Linked DNA regions of Macaca fascicularis. The protein of the gene in region 1 purifies or fractionates together with the protein of each later gene. This does not show direct contact. Links are inferred from orthologs where the notes say so. Each region holds a gene or a part of one and is shown on either strand. Other genes may lie near its edges.

The links.
Region 2: the proteins of PHB1 (region 1) and STOML2 purify together in Homo sapiens (affinity purification with western blotting; 3 studies listed by BioGRID, with this or other methods). This does not show direct contact. The link is inferred for Macaca fascicularis from reciprocal best matches to the Homo sapiens genes PHB1 and STOML2.

Annotation. Positions count from the first base shown.
Region 1 is NC_088390.1:57,300,760-57,304,348, reverse strand, and holds part of PHB1 (prohibitin 1), read right to left. Parts: intron 3,499-3,589; coding exon 3,337-3,498; intron 1,140-3,336; coding exon 997-1,139; intron 826-996; coding exon 709-825; intron 1-708.
Region 2 is NC_088389.1:64,326,117-64,330,418, forward strand, and holds the start of STOML2 (stomatin-like protein 2, mitochondrial), read left to right. Parts: upstream 1-1,485; 5' UTR 1,486-1,522; coding exon 1,523-1,567; intron 1,568-1,797; coding exon 1,798-1,935; intron 1,936-2,427; coding exon 2,428-2,527; intron 2,528-2,659; coding exon 2,660-2,718; intron 2,719-2,810; coding exon 2,811-2,912; intron 2,913-3,061; coding exon 3,062-3,196; intron 3,197-3,342; coding exon 3,343-3,487; intron 3,488-3,609; coding exon 3,610-3,689; intron 3,690-3,896; coding exon 3,897-4,025; intron 4,026-4,302. UniProt on the Homo sapiens protein: Mitochondrial protein that probably regulates the biogenesis and the activity of mitochondria.

The sequences.
Region 1 (3,589 bases):
CACTTTACCTCACTGCCCGAACAAATCACTCCAAATGATTTTTCCCAGAGAATCTAGAAACACGACCCTTCCCCTCACCCTCCTCAACCTGAAACGCTATCCTGCCTGTATTGCTTTCTGTCTGAGTTATGACATCCAATGTCATATAAACACACAAGCTACAGTGTCTCAGGAGGATAGCTTACGCCTCAGAGATGTCCCTTGCCCCCTATACCAGGCCTGGGGGAATCGAACCATTCGTTTACACTCTATCACCTTTCACTAGGGTTCCCAGAACTTCCATCACTAAGCTTCGGACCGTAAGTGTTAGGAAACTCCCAGGGGTCAGGCTGGGAGGTCTGTGCTAGGGATAAAGACTACCCGAGCTGTTCTCTGGTCTCTACCAGACAGTTTCTGCCTGTGTCAAACAGGGTTAACAAGGCATCACTTTCTGGGTAACACAGTTTGGAGAACGTAAAACGTTTAGTGGTTAGGGACTATCTGGATACAACCAGAGGTCATAAGAAAAATGTGTGTGGCAGGGGGAAGGCAAAAGAACCCTCAACTGAAAAACCCACAGAGACTGCCTCGTCTCAACATGTTTCCGTGTTTTCAAGCCTCACATCTAGCAAAGCAGAAGCAGGGACCTAATAGCGTCTGCCCAGAAATGGAGCCAGGCACCTAACGAGACCTGCAGCCCCTTCCCCTCCGTCTCCCGAAGGATCTTACCAAGGACACGTCATCCAGGATGAGCCCAAAGGTGGCTGCTCGCTCTGTAAGATCGTCGCTCACCTGCCTGGAGACCAGCTCTCTCTGGGTGATTAGTTCTCCAGCATCAAAGCGAGCCTAGTTTCAAAGGGAGGAGCAGAAGGGCAGGTCAGGTTAATGAGGAAGCAGAAAAGGAACCAGGAAACTGCAGCCACATCCCAATCAACCCACTGCCAAGCGCTTCCTGCCACCTGGCACCCTTCTGGGGAGGTGCTCTGGGCTTGAGGCTAAGGGCCCCTGTTCACTCACCACCACTGACTTGAGGATCTCGGTCGTGATGGACGGCAGCACACGCTCATCATAGTCCTCTCCGATGCTGGTGAAGATGCGAGGAAGCTGGCTAGCGACGGGCCGGAAGAGGATGCGCAGTGTGATGTTGACATTCTGTAAATCTTAGGGTAGGGGACAAACACTGGAGTTAAAAATAAAAACCACTGTAGGAAAACAAGTGCTTTTTAAAAAATTTTTCCTTTTTTTGAGACGGAGTTTTGCTCTTGTTGCCCAGGCCGGAGTACAATGGGACGATCTCGGCTCACAGGAACCTCCACCTCAGGTTCAAGCGATTCTCCTGCCTCGGCCTCCCAAATAGCTGCGATTACAGGCACACGCCACCATGCCCAGCTAATTCTGTATTTTTAGTAGAGACGGGGTGTCACCATGTCAGGCTGGTGTCAAACTCCTGACCTCAGGTGATCCACCTGCTTCAGCCTCCCAAAGTGCTGGGATTAAAGGTGTGAGCTACCGCGCCTAGCCACAAGTGGTCTTTTATATGGCCTCTCCTACTCCAATTTGCTACAATTTTTATTTATGTATTTTGAGACAGGGTCACATGTTGCCCAGGCTGAAGTGCAGTGGCAAGATCAAGGCTCACTGTAGCCGCCTTGACCTCCTGGGCTCAACTGATCCTCCTACCTACACCTTCCAAGTAGTTGGGACTACACAGGCACATACCACCACACCCAGTAATCTTTGTACTTTTTGTAGAGCTGGAGTTTCGCCATGTTTCCCAGGCTGGTCTCAAACTCCTGGGCTCAAGTGATCCACCTGCCTCAGCCTCCCACAATGCTAGAATTATAGGTGTGAGCCATTATGCCTGGTAATTTTTATTTTTTATTTTTAGAGACAAGGTCTTGCTATGTGGCCCAGGCTAGACTCAAGTTCCTGGGCTTAAGCATTTCTCCTGCCTCAGCCTCTTGAGTAGCTGACACGCACCACTGTGCCTGGCTCCAAATTGGCTACAATTTATAAGCAAATCTGCTGATTATAAGATCCTAGAGGGCAAGGAATAGGTATGCCTGGTTTCCTTGGCAGAGAACCCAACAGAGCATCACAAAGAGTTTATAATTTCTTAGAACATTCAGTGATAGCAGCTTTTTGGTATCCCCTGAATGCCCTCAGATACACGTAATTCAGATTATATGTCTACCAGGCGCCATGTAACGCTTGCAACACTGAACATTTTAAGACAATAGACAGGCCAATGCTAAGAATTGTAGGGTGAGGCCTTTTCAAGCTCTGGTGATTGTGGCCAAGTCAGGAGTCAGCCTTGGAGAGGTTAGTTTGGGTCTGGTGGAAACCGTGTTAGACTAGTAGTCCAAAGATCTGGGCTATTTACTAATGATGTGGCCTCTCTAAGCCTTAGCCAACCTGAGCTTATTTCCTTGTCTATGAGAATGAGGACAACTTCATTTGCTTTCTGGGCCTTGAGGAAATGTTGGGGAAAACTGAAGGAAAAAACAGTCAAAAAGCACTCTGTCAAATGTGTAACACATATAAGGGGTTAATAGACCCATCTATGTTCTGCTTCTCATTACTTGGGCCAGTTAAAGGATCCAGGGAGAGAATTATACCTTCCCCTGGACAATTCAGGCCTGCAGGGAGCCAAAGCACTGTCATGGCTTGCTTACAGACGTCAACAATATGGACCAAGCGCCCATGAGACAGAGCCCTGAACTGTGCACCAAGAGAGGTGGGCAATGTATTAATACCGACAACTCCCTGATATCTAGAAGCGCCTATCAATAGTTTTAGAAATAGGTACATAATGTATCCTGAAAACAACTGCAAAACAGTACAGAAAGAAATCCCAAAGAGGTGGGAAGTTTAGAAGCAGGCTTTTTTTTTTTTTTTGAGACAGAATCTCACTCTGTTGCCCAGGCTGCAGTAAAGTGGCATGATCTCAGTTCACTGCAACCTCCGTTCCCCAGGTTCAAGCGATTCTCCTGCCTCAGCCTCCTGAGTAGCTGGGATTACAGGCACCCCCCACCACCGGCTAATTTTTGTATTTTTAGGTGAGACAGCGTTTCACCACATTGGCCAGGCTGGTCTCGAACTCCTGACCTCAGGTGCTCCACCTGCCTTGGCCTCCCAAAGTGCTGGGATTACAGGCATGAGCCACTGCAGCCAGCCATAAGTGGATATTTCTAAGATTCCATATTGAACTCTCCAGGGCAAGTAGTCCAGTCATTCCTGTGATGTACAGTCCAAACTCTTTTGGATCCTGGTATCCCACAGATGCTCCGGCAACACAAAAGAGCAGAGCACCTCTTCCACACTCCCTACTTTACCTGAACCACAGGCAAGACTCACCTTTGCTACCAGTGATGACCGGCACATTACGTGGTCGAGAACGGCAGTCAAAGATAATTGGTTTCTGTACCCATGGGATGAGAAAGTGAGTCCCTTCCCCTACCACAATGTCCTGTACTCCACGGAACCGGTCAAAGATGACAGCTCTGTGCCCAGCATCCACTAGGAAGAAAGGATAATGACATGTCATAAAAATCTTCTCATCCTTTAAACAAAAGGATCATGTCTTTGAACGAGCCCTGGTGCTTTCTGT
Region 2 (4,302 bases), on another chromosome or scaffold:
TCTCTGAAAGCCAAGTTAGGCGTTTGTGTGTGTACACGAGCTTGTCTTTGTGTGGTGTGTGTGTGTGAGAGAGTGTACATGTATGCACACACACAGGGGTTAACCACCCCTCACCTAGGGCTCCAGACTCCAGTTGTCCCTCTCCTCCTGCCTGTGTCTCCTTGCTTTGGGGTCCTGACTGAAGAAGGTGTCCAGGGGGCAGAGTCAGGGCCAAGCACTGGGGTGCCTCCACTCACCTGGCCAGACTCTGACCCACCTACCTCAGCTGGGGTGAGGGGCACCCCTCAAACTCAGTCATGTGGTTCCAAATTACCCCATTCCCCACTCCAGACTCTGACCCAGCCTCAGTCCTGACTCCTGAGGCTGGGCTGAGGGGAACAAGCATTTGCTGAAACTTGAAAAAACAAAGCAAATCAGAAACAGGAAAAAATTGTACCTGGTACTTTTTTTTAGAAAAAAAAAAGATTAAAAAAGAAAGAATAAATTCTTGTTTGGAAACTTGAACTAAGCTCTACTTTTGTTGTTGTTGTTGTTGGGGAGAGGGTGCGAAGGGGGATAGAGGGCCTTCCTGGAGCTGGGACTCAGCCCTTTCTACCAGAGAGGAGGCAACAGGCCTGGGCCCATGAGGTCTTAGGCTAGCCCCTGCTGATTCCTGGGGCCTGGTCTTGCTCCTTTCGGAGGAGTTGGTGGGTAAAGTTGAGTCCTAGAAGCTGAATTCTGAATTGTAGATCAGGATTCTGATACTGGTTCTGTTAATGACTTTAGCCCTTCAGAACTTCAGTGCCCTCATATGTAAAATGGAGGTGACTACGGAGGTCTCTTGACTACCAGAACATCAGGGATGTGTGCAAGGTGACGTGCTCCAGACAAGGTTGAACGTTGAGGCTGTTTGCCGGACTCGGTATTTAAGACCGGGCATAACAAACCTTGCTTGGAAAGAGAGGGAAGGAGCTGTAGTGTCTTTGAGGAAAGAGGGGAGGGGAAAATCTCGTCCCAATCGCCAGGCAATGTTAGGCCCAGTTTCCATGGCAACGGGATTGGGGTCAGTCCCCAGTGGGAGTCCTGGGCACAACACCGCGGGACTACTATAGAATGTCACTATGGCAACCATGGCAACGAGTCAGCTCAATCCACTCGTCGCTATGGTGACGGATGGGCGCGATTCTACGCTCTGGTGGGCAAACTGAGTCTCGGGTGAGGGTGAAGAATTCAGTGCGTGGTGTCTGAGTGATATGCACGCGAAAAATAATTTGGCCATCAGGCCGGGGATCTTGGTCGCGAACAGCTAAACCCAGAACAACGGCAGCCTTCGGCCTTCTCTTGAAGGTCTGCGTTTCCCAGGGAACAACTTGATGCGCCGTTCGACCAAGTAACGCTGATTGGGTGAGTGTTGAAGGGAGTAGGGAACGGCCGGAAGTACATTCGGGGGAGCGGAACTGCAAGAGGAAAGGCTCGGGTAGGCTTCTGGGAGCTACCGCTCCGCTCGTCTCGTTGGTTCCGGAGGTCGCTGCGGCGGTGGGAAATGCTGGCGCGCGCGGCGCGGGGCACTGGGGCCCTTTTGCTGAGGGTGAGAGCGAGGCAACCTATCCAGAGGGTCGGGATAGAGATCACCTGGGTCCTCCGCTGGGAAAGAGCGAACTTCCAACTTTCGGAGAGGACTGGGGTCAGAGGTCATGGTCCCCATGTGATTCTCTCTCCGAGGATCCTGAGGGTCGTGGTTTATGGAGATACCTTCAGGACCGAGGGGCGGCGTGTTTGGCCAGATGGGATCTCTGCTCACCCTCTTCTTTCTTTCAGGGCTCTCTGCAGGCTTCTGGTCGCGCTCCGCGCCGCGCCTCCTCTGGATTGCCCCGAAACACCGTGGTACTGTTCGTGCCGCAGCAGGAGGCCTGGGTGGTGGAGCGAATGGGCCGATTCCACCGGATCCTGGAGCCTGTGAGAACCTCTTCTGCCCATCCTGGGCCAGCCAGATGACCAATCCCTCACGACATGGAGTGTCGGGAGGACCTCTTTTGGGCCTGCCCGCACTGTTAGCTCCCGACTCTGTAGGCCAGACCTGACAGGGCCGAGGCTGCTGACCATCATCCCCATGTTACCACCTTTTCCTATGCATCTCACAGTCCCCATTCTTGGGAATCTCCTCTGCCCACTCTCTCAGCCCTACCTCTCAGTCTGCATTGAGATGGCTATTCTGCCAGCTCCGATTCTCATGACCCTCCCTTCCATTCAGGGGCCTAGTCTTGCATTCCTATTCTCTTGGGTTTTCTTACCAGTGACACTTCAGCCTTATGAGGACTTATTTCTTGGTAGCAGCTGCTGCTTTTCTGGGCATGTTCCATGTGTTGACTCCCTACATACTCCAGGACTAGCTTAGGTCTCAACCCAATAGTTCCCATCCTTCTGAGGACCCATGACTCCTCTTCCCAGGGTTTGAACATCCTCATCCCTGTGTTAGACCGGATCCGATATGTGCAGAGTCTCAAGGAAATTGTCATCAACGTGCCTGAGCAGTCGGCTGTGACTCTCGGTGAGGGGTTCAGGGTGACATGGGTGCTCTGAGGCTATTAGGATGTGGTTGCTGTAGATCCACAGCTTAGGAGAGAGAACTGGTTGGGACCTAGAGGCCTGACTTTCCTCCTTTTCTCTCCTGGTTCTACAGACAATGTAACTCTGCAAATTGATGGAGTCCTTTACCTGCGCATCATGGACCCTTACAAGGTATCTGCCCCCTACTTTATCTAGCCTTTTCAGTTGCCCTCTTCACTAAAATCTTGTGCCCAAGCTTCTTACACTATCCGTGTCCGTTTCAGGCAAGCTATGGTGTGGAGGACCCTGAGTATGCCGTCACCCAGCTAGCTCAAACAACCATGAGATCAGAGCTCGGCAAACTCTCTCTGGACAAAGTCTTCCGGGTAAGCAGATCTGAGCCAGAGTTAGGGTTTGAAGACACAAACCTGACACTCAATCTTTTCTGAAGGTCAAGATCAGTCCCAGGCCCTTCTCAGTGTAGGCCCTTGATAGGTAAGTTGAAGCTGTGGGGCTTATGCCTCTCTTTTTCCAGGAACGGGAGTCCCTGAATGCCAGCATTGTGGATGCTATCAACCAAGCTGCTGACTGCTGGGGTATCCGCTGCCTCCGTTATGAGATCAAGGATATCCATGTGCCACCCCGGGTGAAAGAGTCTATGCAGATGCAGGTGGGAGCCAAGGAGGGGTAGGAAAAGGACCTCAGGGTGCTCCAGTCCCAGGAGGATCCAGACTTCCCTCCTGTTATGATGGGTAGAGTTGCAGGTCTGTATAACTTTCCCTTGGCTTGTTGATTGGGATTGTTGCGGGCTTCCAGGTGGAGGCAGAGCGGCGGAAACGGGCCACAGTTCTAGAGTCTGAGGGGACCCGAGAGTCGGCCATCAATGTGGCAGAGGGGAAGAAACAGGCCCAGATCCTGGCCTCCGAAGCAGAAAAGGCTGAACAGATAAATCAGGCAGCAGGTCAGGAGAGGGTAGAGGCTGAGGGAGGAGCAAGGCATGGGCCTTTGAAGATTGGTGCTGGGGCAGAATCTTTGGGTACTTTGACTTCATGGGTCAAGCAAGCTCTGTCCCTTCTCTTGCAGGAGAGGCCAGTGCAGTTCTAGCCAAGGCCAAGGCTAAAGCTGAAGCTATTCGAATCCTGGCTGCAGCTCTGACACAACATGTGAGAGGCCCCTGGGTGGGAATGGGGGACAGGAATTGACAGTGGAAGGGGTTCTCTTATCTATGCTTAAGGAGAGTTCCTGCCTCTGTGGGCTCTGTTGAACCAGATTACATAGTCCTTTTTATTGTGAACTGCTTTCTTCATTCCCCATCCACCCCTTCTTCTCCGTATCTATAATCTCTGATTTTTATCCCCCTGTGGTCACAGAATGGAGATGCAGCAGCTTCACTGACTGTGGCCGAGCAGTATGTCAGCGCGTTCTCCAAACTGGCCAAGGACTCCAACACTATCCTACTGCCCTCCAATCCCGGCGATGTCACCAGCATGGTGGCTCAGGTTAGAGCTCTCTGAGGACCCAGCACAGAGCACCTGTGCCAGGGACCGAACTGAGACCCCACCACCGTCATCAACACTTAGATACCATAAAGGTCTTCAGAATGCCTTGGCCCTAGACATCCCTTCATTCTTTGTAGAGATGGAATCTAAGAATGAAACATCTCCACTCAGTCCTGCAAATATGGAAGTTCTTGAGATACCTTTTTTTGGTAGATACCTGTGCTGGTATTCTGAGAGTCACTTTACTCTGATGGTTTGTAAGATTCCTAAAATCAAC